Mus musculus: one gene and its partners. The protein of the gene in region 7 purifies or fractionates together with the protein of the main gene of each other region. This does not show direct contact. Links are inferred from orthologs where the notes say so. Each region holds a gene or a part of one and is shown on either strand. Other genes may lie near its edges. The genes, in order: Cdc5l, Snrpa, Larp7, Mrps26, Snrpd3, Snrpf and Snrnp70.

What was found.
Region 1: the proteins of Snrnp70 (region 7) and Cdc5l purify together in Homo sapiens (affinity purification with mass spectrometry; 3 studies listed by BioGRID and IntAct, counting the BioPlex papers as one, with this or other methods). This does not show direct contact. The link is inferred for Mus musculus from reciprocal best matches to the Homo sapiens genes SNRNP70 and CDC5L.
Region 2: the proteins of Snrnp70 (region 7) and Snrpa purify together in Homo sapiens (affinity purification with mass spectrometry; 4 studies listed by BioGRID and IntAct, counting the BioPlex papers as one, with this or other methods). This does not show direct contact. The link is inferred for Mus musculus from reciprocal best matches to the Homo sapiens genes SNRNP70 and SNRPA.
Region 3: the proteins of Snrnp70 (region 7) and Larp7 purify together in Homo sapiens (affinity purification with mass spectrometry; 3 studies listed by BioGRID and IntAct, counting the BioPlex papers as one, with this or other methods). This does not show direct contact. The link is inferred for Mus musculus from reciprocal best matches to the Homo sapiens genes SNRNP70 and LARP7.
Region 4: the proteins of Snrnp70 (region 7) and Mrps26 purify together in Homo sapiens (affinity purification with mass spectrometry; 3 studies listed by BioGRID and IntAct, counting the BioPlex papers as one, with this or other methods). This does not show direct contact. The link is inferred for Mus musculus from reciprocal best matches to the Homo sapiens genes SNRNP70 and MRPS26.
Region 5: the proteins of Snrnp70 (region 7) and Snrpd3 purify together in Homo sapiens (affinity purification with mass spectrometry; 6 studies listed by BioGRID and IntAct, counting the BioPlex papers as one, with this or other methods). This does not show direct contact. The link is inferred for Mus musculus from reciprocal best matches to the Homo sapiens genes SNRNP70 and SNRPD3.
Region 6: the proteins of Snrnp70 (region 7) and Snrpf purify together in Homo sapiens (affinity purification with mass spectrometry; 5 studies listed by BioGRID and IntAct, counting the BioPlex papers as one, with this or other methods). This does not show direct contact. The link is inferred for Mus musculus from reciprocal best matches to the Homo sapiens genes SNRNP70 and SNRPF.

The regions. Positions count from the first base shown.
Region 1 is NC_000083.6:45,409,708-45,413,207, reverse strand, and holds part of Cdc5l (cell division cycle 5-like protein), read left to right. Parts: coding exon 1-86; intron 87-573; coding exon of another isoform or gene 574-580; exon of another isoform or gene 581-1,202; intron 1,203-1,217; coding exon 1,218-1,380; intron 1,381-2,269; coding exon 2,270-2,434; intron 2,435-3,500.
Region 2 is NC_000073.6:27,193,472-27,197,733, forward strand, and holds the start of Snrpa (U1 small nuclear ribonucleoprotein A), read right to left. Parts: upstream 2,801-4,262; 5' UTR 2,520-2,800; exon of another isoform or gene 2,310-2,519; intron 2,290-2,309; exon of another isoform or gene 2,086-2,289; 5' UTR 2,064-2,085; coding exon 1,973-2,063; intron 1-1,972. Other genes in the region: BC024978 (UPF0692 protein C19orf54 homolog), read left to right, coding at 3,543-3,895. UniProt on the Homo sapiens protein: Component of the spliceosomal U1 snRNP, which is essential for recognition of the pre-mRNA 5' splice-site and the subsequent assembly of the spliceosome. U1 snRNP is the first snRNP to interact with pre-mRNA.
Region 3 is NC_000069.6:127,546,850-127,550,349, forward strand, and holds part of Larp7 (la-related protein 7), read right to left. Parts: intron 698-3,500; 5' UTR 697-697; coding exon 513-696; intron 342-512; coding exon 241-341; intron 156-240; coding exon 72-155; intron 55-71; exon of another isoform or gene 1-54. UniProt on the Homo sapiens protein: RNA-binding protein that specifically binds distinct small nuclear RNA (snRNAs) and regulates their processing and function.
Region 4 is NC_000068.7:130,562,336-130,565,894, reverse strand, and holds Mrps26 (28S ribosomal protein S26, mitochondrial precursor), read right to left. Parts: upstream 2,139-3,559; 5' UTR 2,117-2,138; coding exon 1,905-2,116; intron 1,815-1,904; coding exon 1,668-1,814; intron 1,588-1,667; coding exon 1,464-1,587; intron 958-1,463; coding exon 838-957; 3' UTR 501-837; downstream 1-500.
Region 5 is NC_000076.6:75,516,703-75,520,841, reverse strand, and holds the start of Snrpd3 (small nuclear ribonucleoprotein Sm D3), read right to left. Parts: upstream 2,801-4,139; 5' UTR 2,717-2,800; intron 1,529-2,716; 5' UTR 1,508-1,528; coding exon 1,382-1,507; intron 1-1,381. Other genes in the region: protein GUCD1, read left to right, coding at 3,646-3,688. UniProt on the Homo sapiens protein: Plays a role in pre-mRNA splicing as a core component of the spliceosomal U1, U2, U4 and U5 small nuclear ribonucleoproteins (snRNPs), the building blocks of the spliceosome.
Region 6 is NC_000076.6:93,586,859-93,591,042, reverse strand, and holds the start of Snrpf (small nuclear ribonucleoprotein F), read left to right. Parts: upstream 1-1,384; 5' UTR 1,385-1,501; coding exon 1,502-1,504; exon of another isoform or gene 1,505-1,630; intron 1,631-2,919; coding exon 2,920-3,045; intron 3,046-4,184. UniProt on the Homo sapiens protein: Plays a role in pre-mRNA splicing as a core component of the spliceosomal U1, U2, U4 and U5 small nuclear ribonucleoproteins (snRNPs), the building blocks of the spliceosome.
Region 7 is NC_000073.6:45,378,743-45,382,242, forward strand, and holds part of Snrnp70 (U1 small nuclear ribonucleoprotein 70 kDa), read right to left. Parts: exon of another isoform or gene 2,077-3,500; coding exon 1,975-2,076; intron 1,877-1,974; coding exon of another isoform or gene 1,776-1,876; exon of another isoform or gene 1,754-1,775; intron 1,419-1,753; exon of another isoform or gene 1,335-1,418; intron 593-1,334; exon of another isoform or gene 67-592; intron 1-66. UniProt on the Homo sapiens protein: Component of the spliceosomal U1 snRNP, which is essential for recognition of the pre-mRNA 5' splice-site and the subsequent assembly of the spliceosome. SNRNP70 binds to the loop I region of U1-snRNA.

The DNA of each region.
Region 1 (3,500 bases), on a different chromosome or scaffold from region 7:
CCACTGCATGAGAGTGACTTCTCTGGTGTGACCCCACAGCGGCAAGTTGTGCAGACTCCAAATACAGTTCTGTCTACCCCTTTCAGGTATTGTAAAAATCAGCATGGTCTGTAGTTTAGAAAAACTTCACTTAAGAACCTGAGCAGCATGATTTTTTTTGAGTAATGTTGACAGAGATTAGAATAACTATTAACTTGGGTTTGCCTTTTTGATGTCTTCTAATTGGGTTGCCTGGTGTCTTTGGAGGTTAGATGAGGGTATTGGCTCCCAAAGAACTGGAGTTAAGGTTGTGAGCCGCCATGTGGGTGTTAGAAATTGAACCTGGGTCTTCTGCAAGAGCAGTCTGCACTCTTAACTTGAGCCATCTTTCTAGCCCTGTTATTTATTTTTAGTTGTTAGCTCTGCCCTCTATGGGTTATTTAGGCTAGAAATCCCCACAGTCCATTATACTTGTGGATGAGAGCAGAATCAAGAATCATCGGAAGCTAGTCTTTGTATAGTAGTTATTGCTTCCTGTGAGGCTAAAGAGAGCCTAATTTCTATTTTCCTGTGTATATCTTGTCTCTTAAATAGATTGTAAGCTCCTTGGGGGCAGGGACCATGTCTTAAATGATAACACCGCACCTGTTGGGAACAGATGTCTGGCAGTACCATCAGTCTGGAACACAGCCAAGATACAGGAAGTAAGCAACCAAAACCAGAAAGGCTTTGACTAATTAAAGTATAAGTTGCTGCTGGACTTTATTGTTGAGAGCCTAAACTCAGAACCTGTTCATCATTAGATGTGAATCTGAAAATGTGGTGTTTGCTTTCCAAACAAAATATAAAAGCATAAACCATGTAAAGTGCACCTTTGATGGGAATGAGTGACATGAAAGGTAAAGACTTAAGAAGGGAGACAATAAATGATGAGCACACTGAGCTCAGCATGTCACCTGGGGCCCCCGAGTGAGTGTGGTGGCCAGCCTCTCTGCCAGCTGCTTGTTCTTAGTTACCCTACTGCCTCAAAGGTTCAAAAAATGTCTGGTGAACCTGGCATGGGAAGGCAAAACATCAGATGTAAGGGCTGGAAGCCAGTACAGTACATATAAATACTGTGCTCACCAAACTGAACTTCAGTCTTAATCAACATAACACAGTGAAAGCAAGAGAAAGGTTTTGGTGTCTTTATTCCTTACTTTATGCATTTACCATGACTTAGATTTCTGTTTGTATAGGACTCCTTCTAATGGAGCTGAAGGGCTGACTCCCCGAAGTGGAACAACTCCTAAACCAGTCACTAATGCCACCCCAGGTAGAACACCACTTAGAGACAAGTTAAACATTAATCCAGAGGATGGAATGGCAGACTACAGTGACCCCTCTTACGTGAAGCAGATGGTAAGTATCAGCTCTTTTTTATGTTTATATATTCAGTGCATTGAACCCAGGGACCTTCAACCTGCTAAGCAGGTGCTCTATACTGAGAGATACCTCCAGCTCTAAATTTTTAAATTAAATTCAAGTTTTTCTTGTGTTTTGCCTGCATGTGTGTCTGTGTGAGGGTGTTGGATCCCCTGGAGCTGAAGTTAGAGACAATTGTGAGCTGCCTTGTGGGTGTTGGGAATTGAATCTAGTTCCTCTGGAAGAGCTGCTAGTGCTCTTAGTAACGGAGCCATCTCTCCTCGCTTGCTCTCTCTCTCTCTACCAAAATCAAGTACAGATCCTAATGAGCTCTTTTCTCTGTCCTTGAAGACATAGTTTTGAGATTTTTAACACCACAATACACTGGTTTATTACAAGTCAAGGTTTTGTTTGATATTAGTGAAGGAAGGTAAGAGAATAAGAAAGTTGAGGATCACTTTACAAGAGTCACTACTAAGTTAATTGTTTGATTTTTACATATATCTAAACATTTAAATTATACTTTATTTCTTATTTAGTGTATATTCCTGTGTCCCGTGTGGGTGCACATTTACCGTGGTGTGTGTGTTTGGGTCAGAGCACACCTTACAGGACTTGGTTCTCTCCTTCTGCCCTGTGAATGAGACCTAGGTGGTCAGTCTTGGAGGCAAGCGCTTGTACTGGCCCCAAGCCAGGTGTTTCAGAAACTTTTGTTTGTTTTGTTTAGACGGAAGCTGGTTTTAAGTTTGTGGTAACCCTGCATCAGCCACCTAAGTTTTGTAATTACAGGCATGTGTCACTATGCTCTGCTGTTTTAGAAGTTTTTAGAGACTTTATTAGTTAGTACTGACAGTGTGAATTGACAAGGACCAATTCTTCTCTACAGGAAAGAGAATCTCGTGAACATCTCCGTTTAGGGTTGTTAGGCCTCCCCGCACCTAAGAATGATTTTGAAATTGTTCTGCCTGAAAATGCCGAGAAGGAACTAGAAGAACGTGAAATAGATGATACCTACATTGAAGATGCTGCTGATGTGGATGCTCGAAAGCAGGTGAGAATCATTAAAAAGCATCATCAGTATGGTCAGTATGGTCATGCGGCTGTTGAGCAGTGGTTCTCAACCCACGGGTTGCAACCCCTTTGGGGTTACATATCAGACATCCTGTAGAGCAAATACCTGCATTGCAGTTTCTAACAGTAGCAAAGCTACAGGTAGGAAATAGCTGTGAAATAAGGTTATGGTTGGGGGTCACCACAACATGAAGAACTGTATTAAAGGGTTGCAGCATTAGGAAGGTTGAGAGCCTTTAGAGGGAGGCATGGCTGTCAGTGTTTCTAGGTTGCTACTTTGAGTTTTTCTAATATTTTAACAAAATTCCTCAAATTATATTATTAACAATAATATACTCACATAAATGAATGATCTTATGCTTAGAATATCTTAATTGGTTTTTTTAGATGTTTGTATACATATGTTTGTTTAAACACTGAAATTTACTATGCTCTTCTAAACACAAGAATGTGTTTTATTTATAGAAGTGAAGAAAGGATTGCTTTAATCTAGTGAAGAAAGGATGTTAAAAGCAAAAATTGGATTAGTTTTGAATAATCTTAGATCTGTACAGACCGACAAAAACTAGATTTGGAAGTTGGGAAATATTAGCAACCTCTTATACTGATGCAGTAGTTGTCCAGTGATATATAGGTTTTAGCTCCATTTGGAAGAAGAAAATTGGGTCACATTAGTTTTTCTCATACTGCATAGCCCCTTTCTGTCATATTGTCTCAGGATGGTTGTGAGAACAAAATCACACTATAGATCATTGCTATATTTGTTTTCTCTGTAACGTGCTGCAGTTTTTCTTGCAATTGGGCAGATGTGAGGATACAGAGTTTGAGGTCTAAACTGTTGGATAAAGTTTTAATAAGTTACTGACATGATGAATGAATTGACACTGTTGTTAGTGTTTCTGTGCAGTAAAGGTTAGGCTTCGATCCTATGTCAGTATGGAACTTGTGAAATGCACGAGCTCCCACAGCCGCTTCTGTGCAGCTGAGAGACACCGAGACATTGCCATCAGTTGATTGCATGATTAGCCACATTTAATTGGCATTGC
Region 2 (4,262 bases), about 18 Mb from region 7:
TACTACAAACTTGCTGTTCAAATAACAAACACTTCTTTTCACTCTTAAGCTAACCTTCCAGGCCTTTAAGCCTGACATGCCATCGATTCCTTCCTTCCTTCACTTGTTTATTCAAGGTAGGATCCCATTCTATAGCCTGAAACTGTCAACAATTCTCCTGTCTCAGTCTGACTCACAAGCACGGCCTCCTAGTGTCCGCCACACCTCAGCCGTTGTACTCTTCACTGAATGCCCTTCTCCTGACATCTCCATGACTGCCCCTCTAGCCACTTAAGTCTCAGCATAAATCTGCAGCCTCCCTGCAGGAAGCTCTCTCCAACTTCACTGTCCAGATGTCCCCTTATGGCCCTCTTCTTACCCTGTCTCCTGCTGACATCACAAGTCCACTTACCGACCACCACTAACAGCTACAAGCCTGTCAGTTGGACATGCTGGCCCCACCCGAGAATCCCAACCCTCAGGAGCCTGAGGCAGGAGCACCAGGTACCTGAAGTCAATCACAGTGGGACCTGGGAAGTCAGGCTTACAGGCAAGCATGCGTACCAGCTGAGTCATTTCCCAGTCCTCCCACGACACTTTTCTCCAGTTGGTCATAAGAACCAGTATTTACCCTTCCTTAACTTCTGAATTACTTCCACAAAGCAATGCACCAAGGGGCCAGTGCAAGGGCAGTAGAGCATCCATCCACTTCACAAGCCTTCACGACCTGAATATGATCTCAGGAACTCAACAGCTGAAAGACAAAGGCTTCTCTAGAGGGGTCCTGACCACCCTCATGCATCCATTTATAGATGCACACAAAATAAATACATAAAAATAGTCATTTGTGTTTACTTTTTTAAAAATGTGTGCCGGGATTCAGTCTTTGCAGAAACTTTCTAACTATGGGCCTTACTTCCAGACAAGAACTGAATTATTTGGTAGGGATTTCTATTTAAAAAGAATCTTAAAAAAAAAAAATTTTATGTGTGGATTTTTTTTTTTTTTTTTTTGCCTGCAGAAGCCAGAGGAGGATGTCGTATCCCCTGGAACTGGAGACACACACAGTTACGAACCTCCCTGGAGGCAAGGAATCAAAACCAGATCCTCTGTTAGATCAGGCAGCATTCTTTAACCACAGAGCTCTCTCCAGGCCATGCTGATTTTCTTAGTTGCTGAGATTTGAACCCAGATCCTTACTCCTGCTAGGCAAGACTAACACTAGCTACATTCCTCAAACCTTTTGGACACTGGGTCTTGCTATGTCGCCTCAGCTGGTCTGGAACTCAAGCTCCTCCTGCCTCAGTCTCCTGAGTACTGGGATTACAGCCCTGTACCTCCACACCCTAAAAGAAACCGTTTGTCTTTGGTTTCTTTTTTATCTGCTTTGGCCATGTTGTCCCAAATGGTTTCAAACTTTCACTCTTCCTGAAGAACAGAATTACAGCCTCTGCCAACCAGCCCAGTCTAAGAATCTGCTTAAGCAGAACCCCACATTTCTGTCTCATTTTTCTTGCTATTTGATCCCAGGCAAGTTATGCCACCCAAATTCCAACTACTTAATCTGAGAGGCTTGTGAGAATTAAAGACAGTCAAGACTTAGAACGCGGCACAATCACCCACATCACAAAGCCATCCATTGCCCATCCCTCCTGTGTGTCATCTGCATTGTAGTCAATCACTGAGGCCACCACCCAGAGGTCAGTGGACAGAGACAGTCTCATGAAAGCAGACTGATGGCAAGAACGATCCTGGAAGGCTTCAAAGGAAGAAGGGACCTATGAGCTAAAACCTGGAAGATCACTAACAATGCGCAGATTAAAGGGCAGAGTGTAAAACCTAGGGTGAAACCAAGGAACCAGTAGGTACAAAGGCCAAAGTTAACTCCTAACAGACAGAATGGGGAAGGCTGAAAAAGAAATGTGGATGCTAGAGGTGAAAAGGGGTCAACTCTTGTGATATCACCTTGAGTCAGGCTACCCCAAGAACTCACCATCCTTCTTGATCTTCTCATTGAGATTGTTGATATAAATAGTGTGGTTGGCACGGGTCTCGGGAACTGGCATGGTGGCTATGGTGGCCATGGTGTGAGATGTTCAGGTACGGCTTAAAGAGGAGGAAAAAGCGACTTTAGCCCTAAGTTTCCCAAATTCTTTGTTCCAAAGGGCTGATGCTCAGGGATCGCCCTTCCAAGAGGAAGTCGAGTAAGACCGGAATTGGAAGAGGATGTCACAGCTTAGCAACAAAGCCAGCACAGGCCCCCGCTTCTCCAACCCGCGTGCTAAGGGAGAGCTAGAGAGGTTAACTACGAATCCCAGAATGCTCTACGAGTCCCGGCAGGCGGAGCACACCGAGCGGCGCTTCCCATTAGTCCACGTGCGCGAAAGGCGTCCCGGGAGGAAAAAAGACCCCGGATGTCGGAGCCAGTTAAGAAAGTAGGGGCCGACTTGGAACATCCTAGTCTCTCAAAGAGAGGCCTCCCGAAGTGCTCCACCCGCCTCCCCGGCGCCGAGCAGCGTCTACAACCCGCGGGAACCCACCACCTGAGCCGTCGCTCCCGCCGACAACGCCCGCCGAGCTACGCTGCACAGACACACAACTATCTTCCCCGGCAACGGCTTCTCCCTTCCGCGAGCTAATCACGGCGGGCAAACTCGGTAAGTTCAGAGTCTCTCCCCCGGCCTCAGCGTCTGCCAAAGGAACACTTGGGGTCCCGCCCCCTGGACGCGAGGGAACGGACCAATCAAAGAAGGGCACGAGCTTCTGGCCAATTGGGACATGGTTAGAGCTCTGGTGCATTCTAAGACTGCCTTTCGGAAGCCACACCTCTTCCCCTTCCGCCAGTATCACGTGACCTTCAAGAGCGTTGTGCTGGTTGCGAGTTCTATCACGTGGGATGGGAAAGGACAGGTGGAGGCTGGCCGGGTGACGTCATTTCCTCCTGGGGAGGCGCTTGTGCAGATTCCTAAGTTCCTAAATTGATAGGTTTATACCAACTTAGTTGGCCTTTGATCGCTGAGTTGCTGCGACTCTCATACTTCCCCGCTAAGCCCATGACCCGCCCACCATTAGGCTGTTTTCTCACCCACGTGCCTTTTTTGTAACCTCTTAACCCTAGCTCGTAAAGTCAAGGTTTCAAACTCAGGCCCGCAATGCAAAAAGTAGGCAAGTCACATCCTTTAGACACCTCACAACAGATCTGAACCTCCGAATAACAGAAGTGACCAAAACTAGCTTAGCTACAGCAGATGAGATGACACCTACAAAATGTCCCTTCTAATGTAGCCCCAGCCCCATAGCACAGACCACCCTTCGGGATCCTTCAGCATTTGATTTAGCCCAGTTTCTCTTTCCACTGTTTCAAATACTAGCCCAGGTTCTCCCAGAACAACTGGCCAGACACCATATTCTGCTATCAACTCCAGTTTTAATTTTTTTTTTTTTTTTTTTTACAGATCTCAATGTGCAGGCCTGAATATCTCTCATCCAGTTCCTTTAAAAACTGAAAATCTCCATCCTTGGGAGATTTGGGGAGAGCCTCTTATTCTTCCTGTAGACCCCAAATGACTTCTCCATGCTCTTTCCCCCTAAAACCCACAATCTCTCCAATAATTCATGAGACCCCAGACACCAACATTCCACCTCCTTTACCTCTAAATCCCCCGGACCTAGCTTTACCATCCCCTCCTTGTAGTCTCCATACATCTATTTCATCCCCACTGCCGCCCCCTCCCCCCCCTCCTGCTCCTCCCCCTCCCCCTCCCCCTCCCCCTCTACCCTCTGCTGTGGAGCCTGTTCTCCCTCATGTCTATGGCCTGAAGAACAGCCAGCTCCTGAAGGAGGCCTTAGAGAAGGCTGGCCCAGCCCCCAAAGGCAAAGAGGATGTGAAGAGGCTCCTGAAGCTGCACAAGGACCGGTAGGGTCTCCAGCCCCCAAAACCAGCCCAGATCTCAGACAATCACCTGATTACAAGTCACCACAGCCACCCTGCTCTTTGCGGTCCCACTTCCTTGATCTCAAACAGCCAGATGCCTTAAGTACCCTACTTAGTTAGCTTCCAGCAATAGAGAGAACAGCTTCTGCTCGGGCCTGGCTTTGACACAGAAGCCAGTGGTTCTGTGCCTCCAGACAGTGACTCCAGAGTAGCCAGAGTTGTGATAATGGAGCCCAAGGACAGATCTCAGTGTTGGCTTCTAGAATCGAAGCAGCTACAAATGCTAGTGAGCACGTTATGCAGGCCAGTGCCATGAAAGCAGACAGTACCGAGCAGATCTACAGTAAAG
Region 3 (3,500 bases), on a different chromosome or scaffold from region 7:
GTTCCTACATTTTTACCAATAAATGAATTATAAATAAATGAACTAGAATTAAAATTTGTGTCATTTCTTACCACATATACCGTGCGTTCCTCCTCGTCCTTTGGTCTCTCACCTAGGGGTTTTTTCCTCCTGATTCTGGTCCCTTCTAAGTCCAACTTTATGAGGGGGGAAAAAAAAAGGAAAGCTAAATAAAGTCAGTAGTTAATTGGATGTGGGTGACTTGAAATGTAAGTTTTTTACCTCTACAACAGATGAGCTTTTCAATGCTCTGGCTATTAGCTTCCCATCAGTTGTCAGCTTCTTCATTTTGTTAAAAGACACCAGGAGAGAAATGTCCACATCTAGTAAATAGGATAGTGGGATGTTAAACACTGGAATATATACATGTGTGCAAACAAGCACGAGTTCAACATGCAGTTGTGTGTCATGAACATATACAGTACTGAGCTCTCAGGAGGCTCTGGCCCCATATAAATGTGAGTTGGAAATTCCAACAAAGACAAAAAACTTACATCCATCTCTAGACTTTTCAATTTGCTCTCGCAGAAACTTGTCCTTGTGAAGGTTTGCATCTCCAAACCAGAAGTCCACCTGCTTAGCAATATCTGCAAGCACCTGTTTAACCCGGGAGCGCTTCTTTTTTTCTTCTTTTCTCTTAGTGCTTTCTTCCATAGTTTTTTGGTTTTCAGTTTCCATTCTGAGAGGGGAAAAAACAAAAATGCCAAACTGTAAAGTGCCTAAATGCCCCTGTCACCTGAACCTTCCTGCTGCAGGAATTCCTGCTGCAGGACGCCATCTCACTGACATCAGTAAGGATGTTTTTAAAGCTGGTCTGTCAGGCAAGTGCAAATTCTGTAGTAAATTCAAGTAGTAAAACCTCTACCTCAAAAGATGGCCTAGTCAGCCACCACTGGAAAGAGAGGCCCTTTGGACTTGTAAACTTTATATGCCCCAGTACAGGGGAACGCCAAGGCCAAAAAGGGGGAGTGGGTGGGTAGGGGATTGGGGGGGTGGGTATGGGGGACTTTTGGGATAGCATTGGAAATGTAAACGAGGAAAATACCTAATTAAAAAAAAGAGGAAAAAAAAACCCTCTACCTGATAATTACTAATTAAGTACATTGTAGCCCTATGGGGGGGGGGGGAGGGCTGGAGAGATGAACTGCTCCTGAGTTCAATTCCCAGCAACCACATGGTGCCTCACAACCATCTATAATCTGTAAGGGGATCTGCCGCCCTCTTCTGGCGTGTCTGAAGACAGCTACAGTGTACTTGTCTTTAAAAAATAGGTGAATACTGGATCTCATCTCAGGTTTTCAACTCACCGTATCCTTCCAGGCTTTCATTCCTACCATTTAAGCGGAACCCCAATGAGCTCAGTGTTTGCCTAATGCCAACAGTTACCTGACCTCTTCATCTGGCTTTAAGTTTGCCTTTTCTGGATCCTTCCAGAAAAGGGACACTTCCAACTGTGACTAAACTCCTATCTTGGCCTCCTGTCTCATCTATCCTCTCTGAGGGTCCTGGCTATTCAATTCTGGGCTCTCTATCTCATACATACACACTCTCATTAGCTCCATATTCCAACAGTCAATTACACACTTGACATCTCCATTTGTTCATTTAGAGGATATCGCAAACTTTATCTGACAAAAACAGAATTCCAGCCCCTCTCCCTCATCCCTTCTCCTGTCTTTATCTCTTATTCCCTGCTCTTTATCCCTCTGGAATAAATAAATCTCTTTTGTGTTTGAAAAAAAAAAACAGAATTCTATAAATTTAAGATTTTTTTTCCTCTTTGCAAAATACCAACTACAAAACTGTAAAACCAGAAAGCAGTCTCACTCCCTTCCTCATACTCTACAGTCAATTCAATTCACCAGCAGTCAGACTAGCACGGGCTTTAAAATACATCCTCAATTAATCCTTTTATTTCTAATAAGCTACTTGGTCCAAGTTATTATCACATCTCACTTGAACTATTCCAAGATCTTCCCTAGAGGTCAGCTGGCTTCTACTCTGTTTTATTATAGTCAATTTCCTGCTGTTTCTTTCCCTAATACTCACACACACTCTCATGTCAAGTGTGTAATTGACTGTATGGTTGGCTTGGTTATTTACCCAGATCTGTGAATGCCACTGTTTAAGAGAGCTTTGTCTTTCATCCAACCTACAAGAGTCCCATGGATCCCAATCTGAACTATCCCCTAGACTTTTCTTTCAATGCTCACCACTATCTGGAATTAGAGTTTTGTTATCTACCTACCCCACTATAATACAAATATAGAGGCAAAGGCTTTAATCACTACGTATTTGTGAAGTAGTTACATATATTTAAAAGTCCCTGTAGCTAGGCATGGTGGTACCTAAGCCCCAGCACCCACGAGGCACTGGCAGGTGGGCCTCTGTGAATGTCTCGCCCTATATAATGAAAATAAGGTATTAAGCATCTCAAGTTCTTTTCTAAGGTGGTGGAGTATAAACAAATATAAATACAGACTTCAGTGATCAGAGCAGGCTCCACTGCTAACTGTTAATCATAATGGGCGGGCTTACAGCTTTCTAGTTCTTTTTCCTGTCAAAGCCCACCATCTAAGGCAGAGGTTCTCAACCTGTAGGTGAGACACTTTTGGGGCTCACATATCAGATAACCTGCATATCAGATATTTATATTACTACTTAAAACAGAAAAATTACAGTCATGAAGCAGCAACAAAATAATTTTATGCTTAGGAGTTAGTACTACATGAGGAACTGTATTAAAGTGTCACAGCATGAGAAAGGTTGCGAGACTCTGATCCAAGGCATAGTGGAACTCACAGCTACTCTACTCTTCACCCACTAGATCTAAAGCAGAGCACACAGAACTGCAAAACACAGATGCTCACAGTTATCATTCCACTACCTTAGCCCAGAGGCCATTCTTCCTGTTTCTCTTAAGGGTTACTTTTGTAACTTAGCATATTCCAGTTCAGATCAAATACACCTTCAATTTGGAACAAGTTACAGACCAAACAGAAAGTCACATAAACTACAGAACAATTTAGCTTCCCTACTCCAGGTCCAAAGAAAACCAGTTAGTTAAATGGCTACACCTTGGTTACAGAGCTTCCTCATCTCTACCCACTTTCTGTCTGTCTTTCTCCTTGATGCTAGGAATAGGAATTAGACCCATGGCTTTCCATATCCTACCACTGAACCACTCCTCAGCCCTTGCTGCACTCCTAACCCTATTTGTACTTTCCCAAGGTCCTGTAGTAATGAATAATTATATTGCCATTCCACACATTTCAAAGGAAATGTATTCTTTCCGGCCAAAATCTATTTATCCTCACTAATGTTAACACTATAATCCACCAAGTTGACCAAACCATATCTGCATGTGTCTGGAAGTTTTCTCATTTCTGTGGTCCATAAAAGGTAGACACAAGTCTGTGAAGATTGATTAAAGAAAATGTGGTTTAAGCACTTTAAAATGTTGCTGTGGAGAAGTCTGCAGA
Region 4 (3,559 bases), on a different chromosome or scaffold from region 7:
TCTCAAAAGCCAGAATAAAACACAGTAAAAAATAAACTAAAAAAACCAAAACAAACTTAAATCAGACCAAGGTGAGAGTCCTGAAGAATGACACCAAGGCTGCCCTCTGGCTACCACTTACACACACAGAAGGGCAGCAACTGACTGGAAGAAGCAGGTTTAGCTTGGGAGTCTACCACCTGCTGAGTAGTTCAAAATATGATAGATCAGGACAGGGCCTGGTTACAGAAGTCACTGCTGGAGAGCCATCAGGAGAAACAGGGCACCCTTTTTGCTTCCTGGATCTTGGACACACCAGACCCTAGCCAGAAAATCCCAGGATTGAGCAAAGCAGGTACCTAACTCATAGCTCAGTTAGGTGAAACTTGCTTCTGGCTAGAAACCTAAAGACTCAAATAATTAGGGACAAACGCCTTTGATTTTACAAGCAAGTTAGCATCTGGTGTAACTACTTTCCTCTTTCATTAGCACTGTAACTATAGCCAGTAAATGGGCAAGACTGGGCTCCAATACTTTATTTATAAAAGCAGGAAACATTTGGCTCACACGACTCCAAGAGACTTACAAGACAAGCTTGGCTTCTAGAGGGGACACAGTCCAGTCCGATCCTCTGTGCGATAGGAACTTCCCAGAGTTTAATGCTGCCCTGAGTTTGTCTGTGGTGCCAGAACAGGGACATCTGGGAGTTCCCAGTCAGGTGGTGAGTGCCGAGCCTGGAGTGACTGAGGTTGCTCTGGAAACGGCTGAGCCATCCTCCTGGGATGTACCAATTCCTATCCCAGTACACAGACCCTAGGCAAGCACTGTGCTTATTTGGGCCCCCAGAAGTCTCTGTGCTCAGTTCCTGACCACCTGCCCTTCTTTGGTGACGGCCCAGTTGTAACTCTTCGGAGAGTCCAACGCTTCTTCTATCCGTGCCTCCAGGTTCTCCCGAGTGATGAAGTTTTTTGCCTCCTCCTACAGGAAGAGAAAGGTTGGCTTTGTGGGATCTCTCCCAGAGCTGGCTGCCTGCACTGTCTCTAGTCCACGGGTGTCAAAAGAACCCAGGGTCTCTTTGAGTGTCCCACCAATCGTCCAGCACAACTGTACTAGGTGACCTCGACCATCATATTGCTCTTCCTTGGACAATCACCCATCAGATCTCTCGGCCACAACCCAAGAACAAATCGTGACAACCTGATTAGAGGTGGGTGGACTCTCTCAAGTGCATGAATCCCTCTTACGTGTTAAAAAGCGCTCCATTCTCACTTACGGTTTCCCTGACTTCAAGTTTCACAAGGCAATACTAGCCTGTAACCTTTTACTGACCATTGCCTGCGAGGCATACCCTCTGCGCTGATGGAGAAGCCTCCTGAAGACTCTGGTCACTTGACGCCCAGTGCTGTCATCCCCCCCCCCCCCCCCCAGCCTCCCTTGCTGGGGTCTCCAATGTCCACATTCCCCATGACCTCCTGCATGCCCACCTGCAGCTTGAGCACTTCTTGCTCTTTCAGTTGCACCCAAGCCTGCTCCTCCTGAGCCCTCTGGGCCTGGGCCTCAGCCTTCTGCACCTCCTGGGCCTGTGCTTCCAGCTGCAACCTCGCTATCCTGCGAGGGGCAAGACGCCGAGGGTGAGCGGGGCCACAGATGAGCCTAGCCCAGCCCACCCAGTCCCGGGCCTCTCGCACCGTAGCTCCTGCATTCGCCGGTTCTCGTCCCGGTTCCAGGCCATCAGCTCCCGGTGCTCCGTGATGGCCTGCTGCGCCTTGCGCTCGGCCAGAACCCCGGCTCGGGCCTCGTGCAATTTCCTTCGCACCTCCAACGTGAACTCTAGCCTGGGGAGGACGGGCTTCGAGTCAGCACCCACCCTCGGCCCCGGCCCTTCCCGAAGGGCGTCTGCCCTCCACACGCACAAGCACACGCACCTGAGAGCGCGCACGGTCTCCCGGTACTGTCGGTAGCGCTCGGTCAACACGAAGAATTCCGCAGGGTCCACGGCGGGAGGCGTCTGCACCCGTCCGACCTTGGATTTGGCAGGCGGGTCATGGCGGGTCTTGCGGCCGCGCACGGGCAGGAGCAGCGGGGTCGGGGGCCGAGTCTCCGGCCGCGCCGCCAGGCGGTTCAGAGCGCGCAACATGACAGCCAGCGCCTGCGCCTGCGCCCGGCCCGGAAGTGGCCGCGGAGCACCACGGGAGCCTCCTGTCCTCGTCCCTGTTGGGCGGAGCTCTTGCTGTCTGGTCCAATGCACGTCCGGACTCTCGGGTAGAGTGGGAGGGGTCGAGGGGCACCTTGGAGACCCACAGCTTGCTGGGCTGCGTCGCCCGCTAAAGACAGCTACACCGCAGGACGCTCTGCCCACTTGTTCACAAGTTTGGACACCGTCCCAAGTGTGTGGCTCTGGGGCTCTCTGGCCCGCCGATGGCCTGTCTACCCTCCCAGACCTGATGCAAGAAATTTGGAGTTCCTGGCTACTTTAAACTTTAGATTTGCAAACCATTTCCTTGCACTGCACTGCCCTGCTGTGGTCTTGGGGGAGCTCTGCAGTTGCCAGAGTTCTCAGTATCAGTGACAACTTGTTCTCAACTGGGCGACCTGTGAGGTGACCCTTGTCCTCTTCCACCTGACCCGGGGTCTTCCCACCTCGAGACTACTCTTATTTATGAAGTACAATTTCCTCTCCAACTGAAGAGAAACAGCAGTGCAGCAGGGCAGAGAGCATCTGTCTCAGAAGTAGCTCGTTCCCCTCTGCCTCTCCAGCAAGGAGAGTTGTTGGAAATCAGAAGCTGACCCGAGTACTGGGGAACTGAACTTTCACCCCACTCATTAGTATTGTCTAGACCAGATTCTGCAGAGAACACCAGGCCATGGTCCTGCACTTCCAGGACACTTGGGAGTGTCTGAGGAGCCAGGACTGGGTGCAATAACAGACATTTTCTCAGAAGAGAACAGAGGCTGCTTAAACCCTGCTCTCAACTTCCAGGCTTGGTGGAGGCCCAGTCTGCACTTTCTTTCTCTCAGTCAGGCTTTGGAGATGAGATGCCAGAGTGTACTCTGGAGTCCTGGGGGCAAGCTGGTGACAGGTTTTCCTCCAGGGTTCCGGCCATAAGACCATTGCTGGGCCCTGGAGGATCCAGGATGGATGGTCTGTGGAAACCAGGGCATTACTGCTGCCCTACCCTGGAGTACCACAGGGTTGCTCCGAATGTCAGGGAACCTGACACTCCCACCCTGTTTTTGTTTTTGTTTTGTTTTTTGGCAGGGTCTCACTAGATAGCTCTGTCTAGCCTGGAACTTACAGTGTAGATCAGGCTCACAGAGATCCACCTGCCACTGCCTCCTAAATTCTGGCATTAAAGGCATATGCCACCATACCTGTCCTAACCCTTTCTTCTTCAGGGTCACCCTAGACAACCGGCAACTCATCTCAGATAACTTAAGTGTCTAGGCCAAGAGAATATTCTAGGGTATGGGCCATTTCCCTAGAGGCTCCCTAACCTTGCTGGCTCTGAAGTCCTCTCGCTAGTCAGGTGCACCCATCCTTTTAGAAGGTTTCATAAATGTAAGAGATTTAGATCTAAGG
Region 5 (4,139 bases), on a different chromosome or scaffold from region 7:
TCAGGAGACAACAGGTTGGCACCCTCCAGCTGCCACTCTGGGGGACCTGCCAGGGCATTCACGCTGCGACAGCCCTTCCAGCAGGCTGCCAGGGACTGACCACAGCAGAAACATCAGAGCCAGTCCATTACTGGCTCCAGTTACTCCTCTTACTTGGGTGAAACTTCCTCAGCACCATGTTGTAGCCTGAGGCTCCTTTTGCTCACTCTGCCTTCCTTTCCTGGACTGAAGACCCTCCTGCTACGATGATTAATATTACCGACTTGATGGATTTAGAATTACTGAAGGGACAGGCGTGTCTGCGAGGGATTGTCTAGGTTAGGTGGAGGTGAAAAGTAGAAACTGGGCTAAGTCCTGGCACTCATCTCTGCTTCCTGACTGCAGATTCAATGTGACTAGTTAGTACCCTCCTCAAGTTCTTGCCACCATGACTTCTTCTGCATCAGACTGTCTCATCACACTGTGAGTCGAAATAAACTCCCCCTTCCTTAAGTTGCTTTGGTCAGGAATTTGATCACAGCAACAAGCAAAGTAACCAATCACTTCCGCAATCCTGCTCGGTCACTGGCGTCCTTCACGCCACCTCCCCAAAGTCTCTGGTGTATCTAATTCTGGGTTGGCATTTACAGCACAGAGGATCCAAAACAACTCCATCCTCATTTTATTCAGGGGAGAACAAGTGACCAGGATACCCAAGGTCCTATCATTATGGCCCAACTCAATTTGGAATCAGGGAATTCTCTGATTCCAAAGCTCAAGTTCTTAATTAATGGGGAAAACCCCCAAACCATATGCCAAAACTTTGGCAGTTTTATCAGATGAAACTTTCTCCAAGACAAAAGTAAGCACACACAATACGTGAGTAGAAGATCCTGCAAATTATACACTGTGCTGGGAAGCAGACACTGGCTCTGAACCTGACCGACTCTGAGACAGAAAAGTGAAACTTAACTGGTTGTTTTATAGACAAGTACTTAGCAACTGTATTTGGCTAAAGGCTACCTGACAGTAAATATAGACCTAACCCCAGAGAAATCTAGGAAAAGAGATTGTGCTTTCAATTCAGCATTCTGACTCCCTACCAAAAGCAGTGTGGTCTTGCTATAAAGCCCAGACTGGCCTTGAACTCGAGAATCTACCTCAGCCTCTCAAGTGCTCGGATACACACGTACAACCACAGGCTGTCAAATGACTTTTCTGCCTCAAGGCTAAGTCTATACTGACATAAAATCTTAGAGCCTGTAAGAGTGCTTGACAGGTAATAAGTACTTAGTTAATAACTGTTTGATGAGAATAACTTCATTAAGACCTCCAAGTACACCGCTCTACCCACAGGATAGAAGCCACAGCCCTTTCCCAGCCCTGGTGCCAAGCAGGATACCTGACAGTTCATGTTGTCCTCTGCTTCAATGAGCTTCCCTCGGTATACTTCCCCGGTGTTGGTCTCACACGTCACTATGTGGCCTTCAGCCTCGTGCAAGACTTTAATCGGCACACCAATAGACATCTTGGCAGGACTCTTCCCGGGCTACAGGGAAAGAGAGACGATGGTCATCTTTCAGAGCTTAAGGACTGGCACGCCATGGGCTTTGTAAATGATGTCAAGAGCTGCGTTTCCTGTGGAAGGAGTGTGGCTCTTGGCCTCAAGGAACCACCACAGCAAATTAGCGCAACACGTAGGGTAGGGAAGGATGGTAAGCTGGACAATGAAAAGTAATGGGAACAAAGAGTACTACCCCCATTCTCATCCCAGCCATATGACCCTTTATAGTCACTAAAAGGGCTATGATATAGACCCGGAGTGTAAACAAATCACTGTTTACATGGAGTTAAATAAAATGCAAATAAAAGCAAACTCAGTCTTTCAGTCACACCAGAAATATCCCAAGTAGTCAGCCACCACATTTGGATAAAGGCTACAGAACCTAATAGTACATATAGACCTGAGCCCCAAGGAAGCTAGGAAAAAGAGCTTGCGCTTTTCAATCCAGCGTTTTGAATCCCCACCAAAAAGCAGACCAAAACTGTCAAGGCTACGGTGCTATAAATAGGAAATGTTCATCAAGCAGAGAAATAGGGTAAACGCTCGACTTTAAGTCTCACTACAAGACAAAGACTATGCACAGGGCTTTTAAAATGCTGAGATTGGAAACGACTCAAAACCGGAGCACACCATTTATTTGCATGAGAAGACTGTAAGGATGCTAAACACAGTCTCTCTCTCTCGGTGAGGAACCACGGCTTTCAACTTTAGGAGTGTGGGTTTCCATGCTGAAAATGGTAGGGAAACACTGCAGGATGATAGCCAAAGGTTCAAAAAAAAAAGAGTAGCATCTACAAAGTGGATCGAACATATAGCACGGCAACTTGATTAAACTTCTGCAGCAGCGTGGAAAAGAGGGCCACTGCAGGAATGGGAGTGGAGGCAGGGATGAAAGGGACGTTGTAAATGATGATCCAAAAGGAAAGGAGGTAATTAGCAAGAAATGACTGCCCGTAAGCTTCGGAAATCGGTGACCTGAGAAGGCACCGAACGTGCAGACTAGGCGTAAATTAATAACTGTTCAAGGGTTCGGGAGATGAGCTTTGGATAGGCCCTGGCTTCCCGCCCTCCGCTAAGCAAGCCCCGCTGAGCTCCTCCGCAGCGGCCCTTCCAGCTCCTAAACCCCCTGGGGAAGCCCTGGCCTCCTCTCTCCCGTTAGCCGCCTCTCCTCACCAATTAACTGCAGGCTTTATTTTTTTTCCGGTTCTGGCACAAACGTTAGAAGGCGAAGGCGAGAGAACGACCGGCCCGACTCTCACGAATACCACGCGCTCCCAGAATGCCTTGCGCAGGCCCCTCCCTTTCCTTTAAGCCTACTTGCCCTTCACTCTCACTTAGCCGGCTGGGGAAACCAGGGCTCTAGCACAATAGTTCCGGCACCGGAGAGGGCCCGGGGGACCGCCGGAAACACCAATCCTGGAGCCCAACAAGGGAACATGGTAACCCTGAGTACTGTAGTGGCGGATTGGGCGGGATCTGGGCTTGAGCCCAGTGCTCTGGGGAGACAGGAAGTGAGGCTTGGACTAGAGATTTAAGCTTTGGATCCGGCCACCGGCAGGTAAGGGACGCACTGAGCCCTGGGAACTCTCATTATTCCTTGTCTGGGTAAGAAGACCTAAAAGGAGTCGGGAAAGTGTTCCCTGGAGTCTCGATAAGGCACTGCGGAGAACCAGAGCTTCCATCTGAGGCTGCAGAAGAACAGACCTAGCGGAGGGAGAGCGTGGGGAGCCCACGTCGCTAGGGGAAGGGCTTTGGGGGCGGGGCTCGGGGAGGGGCGGGGCTCGGGGAGGGGGAGGGGCCCCCGGAGCGTTTCAGGGAAGGACCTACGGGTAGCGGGTTCTGGAAGGAGAAGTGGGGGTGGAAGGGAAGAGGCGTGGCTTATGGAAGGGGCGGGTTTCCAGCGCCCAGACCTGGAAGGGATTAGGCGTGGCTTGAGGCGGCCTAGCCACCGCCTACCCGGCTCTGAACCGCGGTGGCGGCGGCGGCGGCGGAGGCGGAGGAGGAGGAACTCTGCGCTCACTGGCCGCGCTCGCTGCCCAGCAGAAGTCGCCGCTGCAATCAGCTCCAGGCCGGGGCCATGGGCGCCCTGCGCCATCCGGGTCATGAGGACGGAGGCAGAGGCAGCGGGGCAGCCGCTCGAGCCCGGTCAGTGCCTCTCTTCAGGGCCTTGCCTTCAACCGGGGGAACGGAGGGGGACTCCGCCCTAGAGCCGGGCAGGGTCTGGCCGCGCGCGACCTTGGGTCGTCTGCGGCCTCAGCCCAGCCTGGAGCTTCTAGTGGGTCCTAGCTAGGTGGATATTCCTTCTCATCTCCTGTCCTCCACTTAGGGTCGTTCCTGAGTCTCCTGGGGCTTGAAGCCCAGGGAGTGCTGAGAGCCGTCAAGTGGAAAAGTCCAAGGGGCAAAAAGGCACAACCTTGTCCAGAATCGAATAGCCCTGCTTGAAGCACGTTGGGTGATCCTATTCCCCGGGGAACTGTGGAAAGCCTGAGGCCGAGAAAGAGGGGGAAAGAATGGCTTGAGAGCTCTCAGCAAAGGGGCGGGAAAGAGGGGGAAAAGAATGGCCTGGGAGCACCCAGCAAAGGGAACATCTTTTTCT
Region 6 (4,184 bases), on a different chromosome or scaffold from region 7:
ACTCTTGGTCCTTTGCAGAATACGGAAGACAGCTCAATACAAGGAGAAAAATACTAACATGAATCTGTCTGAGTCTAATTCCCAGTATTTCATCACCTACAGTATTAAATTAGAAGTTGGACTAGGTATCCCCAGGATTGTGAGTTTAAGATTTATAAATTTGTCAATGCTGACTGAATAAGTAGAGCATATTTGAGTGTCAGGAACAGTAATTATTCTTCCATTACCATGGGAAAAAAATCCGAGCTAAGATTTCGGTCTGATCAAAATGTATCTGAGATTAGCAGCATCATTTTTAAAATTTTCTTTATCATGTTTTGTCTGCATGTGCGCATGTGCACCGCGGGAGGGCCTGGCACCCACAGAAGTCAAAAGAGAGAGATGGGTCCCCGGCACATGAAACTTTGGATGGTTGTGAGTCACCACCATGTGGGGATGGGATTCGAACCCAGGTCTTTTCACGTGCGAAAAGCGCTCTTCTCCATTGAGCCAACACCCCCAGAATGTGTTGGCATACTTTAATAATATAAACGACAGTCTTTAGGCTTAGGCCTGGGCCAATCTCGAATCTCGAGTTATTTGGGGAATCCATGCCAAAAAAACAAAACAAACAAACAAACAAAAAACCGTTCAGGTTCATATAGGGTTAGATCTCCCGAAAAAGAAAAAAGTACTCTTTTTACACGGGTTTCATATCACAGGTGAAGCGATACTGAAATGTTGAGATTATGGGGAAATTAAACGGGGTTCTGATCGATAACTTTCCATCAGAGCGATTAACCTGTGGTAGCGTCAATAATTCCCCACATCCTATTCACAAACACACGTAAACGGACCTCCTTTGGCCTCTGGTTCTGGGAATGCTTAGACATCAGAACGACAAGAGGCCACCACATTATCCGAGACTTAACTTGACCTGGTTTCAACTGTTGTAAAGCCCCACTTGAGTGCTTTTCACTAGCACTCACGTAGTCTTGCTACCCCAGCTTCCTTTAAAAACCCGCAAGTGGACGGACATTCTGTAATAAAGAACAGTCCCATAAAAGGGGGGCCGTGCCAGAGGTGTTCCCCAAGTGCTGGATCTATGGGAGGATGACCTCCAGAACCCGATCTCGTTCTTTCAGCTGAAGGACAGACTAAACCTTCTTTAGCTAAAGAAACCAAGTCCGTTCGCCAGGGCACTTAGCTTCCCCTTGTCCCGAAGCAAAGACATTGGGGTCGCTCAATCGTTCCCACTTCGAACTTGAGCAGTGGACACAAACACACGCTTACCTGGTTGCTAGGAAACAGTACCGCCATCCCCTCCAATCAGTAAACACGTCTTTGGTGGCCAATCACAGAAGCCGAGACAACGCGGCGTGAGGTGAAAGGTCAGGCCGCTTTTGTCGGCCATTTCTCTTAGCGCGGGTCGCTTGGTTGTAGCGGCAGCCGCTCCGGTCACGAGGGGCGGGCAGCGGCGGAGTCGGCGGCTAGCGGGGTGCAGCGCTCGCCGGTGGTCGCGATGGTAAGGACGATGAGCGCCGCGGGGGCTGGAGGACGGGCGGCCTCGCGGGGCCCGCCGCCCCCTGCGCCTCCCATTCATCCCCACGAGGCGCCGCGCGGCTGGCCGCTCGCTCCTGCTCCCGACGTCGGAGGCCTTGGCGGCGCGCGCGCGGAAGCCCTTCCCCTCCCCGAGATCCCCAGCCACCTTTCCGCGTGTTGTTTGTCCCGGAGCCTGAGGTGTAGCCTAGTTTGGGCTCACAGGGTAGGGGTAAACCGAAGCGAGTTTTCCATTTCTACCTAGCACGCTCCGCAGTGCGCCATTTATTCCTTGCTGTTGACAATTTTAGCAGATTGTCCTCTGGCGCAGAAAACCCCGGCTACCCTTCCACTCATTTAATACTGATCTTAGGCGCCAGGAAGATGGGGTGGTAAGGTAGACTCTGCGTTTTCTTAGGAGTGGGAGGTAGGCAGCCGTCAAATAATAACAACAAAATAAGCAATTACAAGTAGCGGTGATTGTTAAGCAGGGAGCTGATAGGATGCTCTGAGAGGTGCACTGCCTAGTTATAACGCAGTGGAGGAGCGCTCTTCTCCAGAAGGTGTCAAATAACCAGACATCCAGGTCACAGAGCAGGTGGAAGAGTATTTCTTGCGCGAGTTCCAAGTAGAAAGTAGGTTTGACCAGTTGGAATTGACAAGAATTGACCGCTGCTTGCAAGAATGATGGTTTTAAAATACAGCCTGGGACCTTAACGCCTCCTAGGAAATATGAGGCTCTGTCAAGTGCAGTTAGAGACCATTGGAGCATTCTTTTAAGTCACAATAGTACATGACTTGATAAGTGGTTTGTGGATGATAAATTATAGGCAGCGTAAATTGGCTACTCATTTAGACCCTGTGCTCTCCAAGATTCTTTGGGATGGTGTGTGAGTGGAATGGAGTATGGGGGTGGTTATGAATTTAAAGGGAATAATACTTCTTGATTTAGCATTAAGAGGCCCTCTCACTGACGATATTGAGCTTTTTTTTTTTTTTTAATGTCTGCAGAGACCACCCTGTACCTTTATTTTGATTCCTTTAGAGCTTGGATAATGTAGGTATTTGGGGCTTTTGTCCATTCGGCAGTGCTCAAAATGGAACTAGTGACCTAAGTATCCTAGGGCAGTGCCCTGTCATTGTGTTACACACTTGCCCCACTCCCATCTGTCATTCGACATTTAATTGCATAATTCATATTTTCGTTTCTGTCAGTGGACTATGAAGTTGGCTAAATGGGTACTTAAATTTCTCTCAGACACCCTCCAGCAAATTATAAAGTGATGGTGGATCGGAGTTTACCCTGTGTCATAAAGTCTTGACTGGTGTCTCAGTAGAGAGTGGGTGGTGGAAGCTGAGGTAAGCAAAAATTATTGAGTGCTGCCTTTGGTTTTTATACAGAGTCTACCCCTCAACCCCAAGCCCTTTCTCAATGGGCTGACAGGGAAGCCAGTGATGGTGAAACTTAAGTGGGGCATGGAGTACAAGGGCTACCTGGTCTCCGTGGATGGCTACATGAACATGCAGGTATGCTGAGGAGGAGGAGCATGGGTGAGGAGCAGGAAACCAGGTTTCTACTGTGTCACCTTACTCCTCAAAGGTTTACTGAGACTGGTGGGAATGCGCACAGATTGACAATAGAAAGTGGAGTCGAGATTAAAGTATGAACCAGGGAGGAGGTTGAACCATGATGTTCTTAGGAGTACTTACACCAGAACACAGAGCTTTGACATTTGGTCTCTAAAGCAGAAGGGAAAACTAGTTTATTACAGAAAACAATGATTCAGCCTGTCTTTTTCTAAGACGTGTCTGTATAGGCGATTAGCACTATGATGCAGTGGCATTAGTACTCAAATGGAACTCTGTACCCATTAAATAGTTCTGTTACCACCTGTAATCCACCTGTAATCCAGCCCTATGATTAAGAGTGGGACTGTCTCTCATGTAAGTGGAATGTATTATAAATTCAGCTAACTTCAGATCAAAAATTCTTAAGAGAAATTATATCTTATGTTCGAGGTACACAGTCCTTTTGCTTTCTCCACTGTACTAGGCTATGATCAGTCTAGAAATTAGAAGGACATTAGGTTCTATGCAGATGCTCAGCTATTTGAAACAAGGAGCTCCAACACCCTTGGTCCTAGAGGCCCTGGAACAAAGCCCCATAAATGCCCTGGGGTAGGCTTTTTGTCCTTTTGTCTGGTTTGATTATAGCTTCAGGATTCATTGATAGAAGTTACTGCTTTTCAGGACTGAATAATATCCCGTTATATAGCTATAACGCATTTTTACAGTCTATTATGTTTGTTTGGTTTTTTTAAAACATTATTTTATGTGAGTACACTGTCACTTTCTTAAGACACACCAGAAGAGGGAATTGGATTCCATTACAAATAGTTGTGAGCTACCGTGTGGTTGCTGGGAATTGAACACAGGGTCTCTGGAAGAACAGTCACTCTTAACTGCTGAGCCATCTCTCCAGCCCCATCTGTCCAGTTTCTTGTAGGGATCAAGCCCAGACCTCTGTACATGCTGACCAGCAGTCTGCCACTAAGCTACATTCTCAACCTGTTCATTCATTTTGATTTCTAGTTTTTAATTTTATTTTATGGATGTCTTGTCAGTGTACTATGTATATGCCTGCTGCCCATCAAAGTCAGACAAGG
Region 7 (3,500 bases):
GCTACATAGAGAAACCCTATCTCGAAAAAACCAAAAAAACCCACAGAAATATTATAAGAACATGTTTTTGTTTTCATCCCAGGTGTGGGCATATGGGACTGCTTTGAATCAGCGGGTTTGCTTCATGCCTATAAGAGGCATGGTTTTGCCAGCTGCGGATAGTTACTGTGATTGTGTGGCATTTGGAATTCTGAGAACTTTTCAGAGGGTATACGCATCCTGGATTGTACAAGAGGGTAGGTTGTTGGTTTCTTAAGTAGTCAGGTACAAATAAGAGACAACAAGAAGAAATTACATATCCTAATGGTGAAGATCAAACTTGCCCCAAGGAACTCAATGCCCCTAATCTGCAGGTAGTCTCCTTTTCAATCCGATTGTATTCAGGGGTCTCTTTCCACTCCTCTCTATTCTTTTCCCCCTCCTCTCTTATGTATTACAGAGATGAAAGGGTGGAAGAATAGGGTTGAAAAAAGAACCCACAAAGTGGCCAAAGACAGCTACAATGTCAACAGTTTTCAAAATAAACACTCACTTCCTGCACCCTAAGTAGACTCCGTCCCTCCATCACTCTTCATATCTAACTGTCACAAGTCTAAAAGCAACAGAAATAGTTAACTCAGTCTGAAACTTCAGAAACTGAGAGAAAACAAACATCTTGTTCATTAAAGGTTGAGGCAGGAGGATCACCAAGAGCCTGAGGCTACCCTGGGCTTCACAGTTAAGACCATATCTCAGATCCTCACACAAATAGTAACAAATACCTTTATGCACATGGGCAAAAATGCTGCCCAAAGTCTCACCTAGGCTAAGTGTCTGTCCATGGGAGTGAAGCGGGCTCATACCTTACTATATTAATATCAACAAATCTGTAACCACAACAACTGTCTTGTTTCTGAGACTTCATTCAGCACAGCAGTCAGCCTAAAGGATCCACCTTTTTTAAAAAAGAAAAAAGGGGCTGGAGAGATGGCTCAGTGGTTAAGAACATTGACTGCTCTTCCGAAAGTCCTGAGTTCAAATCCCAGCAACCACATGGTGGCTCACAACCATCTGTAATGAGATCTGACGCCCTCTTCTGGAGTGTCTGAAGTCAGCTACAGTGTACTTACATATAACAATAAATAAATCTTTAAAATAAATAAATAAATAAATAAATAAATAAAAGACTTGGAGGTCCCTGGGGGTTGGGATGGTAGGTCACCTCTGCACAGGTGCACAGGTGAAAGCAGAGCCAGGCAATACTGCCTAAGACAGAGTGAAGCTACTCACACAAAAGACCTAAACCCAGCCAGGGCCTAATTTGAGGCATCAGCAAATAGCTTAGAGAGTGACACCTGTTGACAGAGTGAGCAGCAAACTCTCCAAGTCCAGTCTCAAGGTCTTGGTGAGGATCTATTGATGATATCACAATCATGGGACTGAAACAAGAGCCTGGCATCAGTAGGCACCTCTATTCCTTATGCTTTAAGACCCTCAGATATATTTCAAGACTTGCCACAACAACCCCCATGGAGACAGCCCACAACCACCAGAAAGGCCAGGAGGGTCAGATGCAAGGTCAGAGCACAGGCTGCTGCTTTCTTGCTTCAGATGTGAAGCCAGGAATTGGGCTGGTGACTCAGCTAGAGAGTGAATGAAGAAGCCACTCAGTGAGAGCAAGAGCAAAGCTAGAGCCAGTGATACCCTCCAACCCAGCCCATGATACCAAGTATATGGGCATAAGGTGGCTGAGGTCAGTGCTGAAGTTACCCACACTGCACAAGAACTGCTGCTGGTCAATCACTCATGCAGGAAAGACCAGGGTATGCTTGGGTGCTCATGTGTAGGTGTCTGTGTGCACCAGTGTCCAAAGCCATGAAGATGATGAGAAGACAAGCTGGAAATGGAGAGGAACAGGCGTATGGGTTGGGGAGACTGAAGGAAGAATAATCTCTAATCACAGGCCCAGGCACCCAGAAGGAATACTGCACTCACCTAGGCGCCGGGGCCTCCAGCCCTTCACAGTCCGGCCCCTCTCCACATCCACGAGGACCCTCCTGCCATCTATCTTCTTGCCATCTGCGTGCTTGTAAGCGGCTGCAACAGATGTGGGGGAGGGGGAATTCCCCAGAAGGTCCTCTAGTCAGACAAGGCTCCATACAACAGCATCCCTGCCCCTCAAACCCCATCTGCACACATACACTCACACTCCCACCAGTCAGCCAGGCAACCAACAGCCAGACCGCCCTCTCCCCACCCTGAAGGGCCTGCTCCATCCGGTGCTTGATTCCTTTTTGGCACCCCCAAGTGCTATTGGGGGGGTAAAACATTTACTCTGGCCTCCCCCAGCTTTCACATGATGGAGCAGCCCCCTCCTGCCAGGGCGGCCAAATTGCTGCAAAGAAACTGGAGGTTAGCTGAATGCTGGCCTCTGCTGTGGGGAGGGCTCCTCCACACCCAGGCATGCACCCTAGACACCATGCTGGGCAGGAGGCTGGCTAGGCTCCTCCACACCCAGGCATGCACCCTAGACACCATGCTGAGGCAGGAGGCCCACTGGGCCCCACCACATCCAGACCACACCAGATTATTTTTTTGTTTTTTTGTTTTTGTTTTTCTGTGTGTTTTTATAGGGGAGGTCAGTGTGAGGAAAGAGACATCAGAACAGAAATGAACAGGAGTGGAAAGACCTTCAGGAACTGGCAGGGATATAGGTGGGTGCTGAGCTCCCCAGGGACCTCCAAGGACCCTGGCTGGACTCAAAGGGACATGTACCGTGCTACTCAAAATCCCTGCCTTACCTGAGCCGACTGACCCTGCCACCACCTAGCCTGGCCAGCTCTGTCCTCCAAGCCGAGGTCAATGGCCAGCAGGGCATGCAGCCCTGCCTGAACCCTCAGGGAAGTTGAGGAGCATAAGACATAGTGGGAAGGCCCAGAGCCCAGGCCTGTGATCAGGCAGGGCTGTTAAGAAGGCCAAAAAGTCCCTGTCCAGGTCCCAGCCCTGGCCTAAGGGGCTGTGCTCACCAACCACAATACCCTGCCCCACCCCTGCCCACTCCCCCCCAATAACAACCAGAGGAAGAGAAAAAGGTGCCATTTACCGATGCCGGCCTTGCGGGTGTCCAAACCGAGCGGGATGGGGGGGGCCGGCAACTCCTGGGGGCCTGGCGAGGAGGCGGGCTTCCCGGGGGTGGGGTGGGGGTTGGGACACGGGACTGCTTACCTGGAGACCCCAAGCTTACCTGAACACTCACACAACCCCACACCCACCACCACAGGGGCAACTAAAGCTACAGGGAACCCTGAGAGGGAGACACTACATTTCCCACATCATCTAGAGACAAGTGGATGAAGGAAAAAAGGGAGCCTCTGAATGTCAGAGGAATGTTTGCGCCCGGGCTGGGAGACCTGGATCTATCTATCCTGCCCAACCTAAACAGTGGGCCTCAAGGCCTCAAAAGCACCTACTGCTCACCACTGCCTCAGTTACGCTCCACTAGGTACAGGCCCAGCACTCAG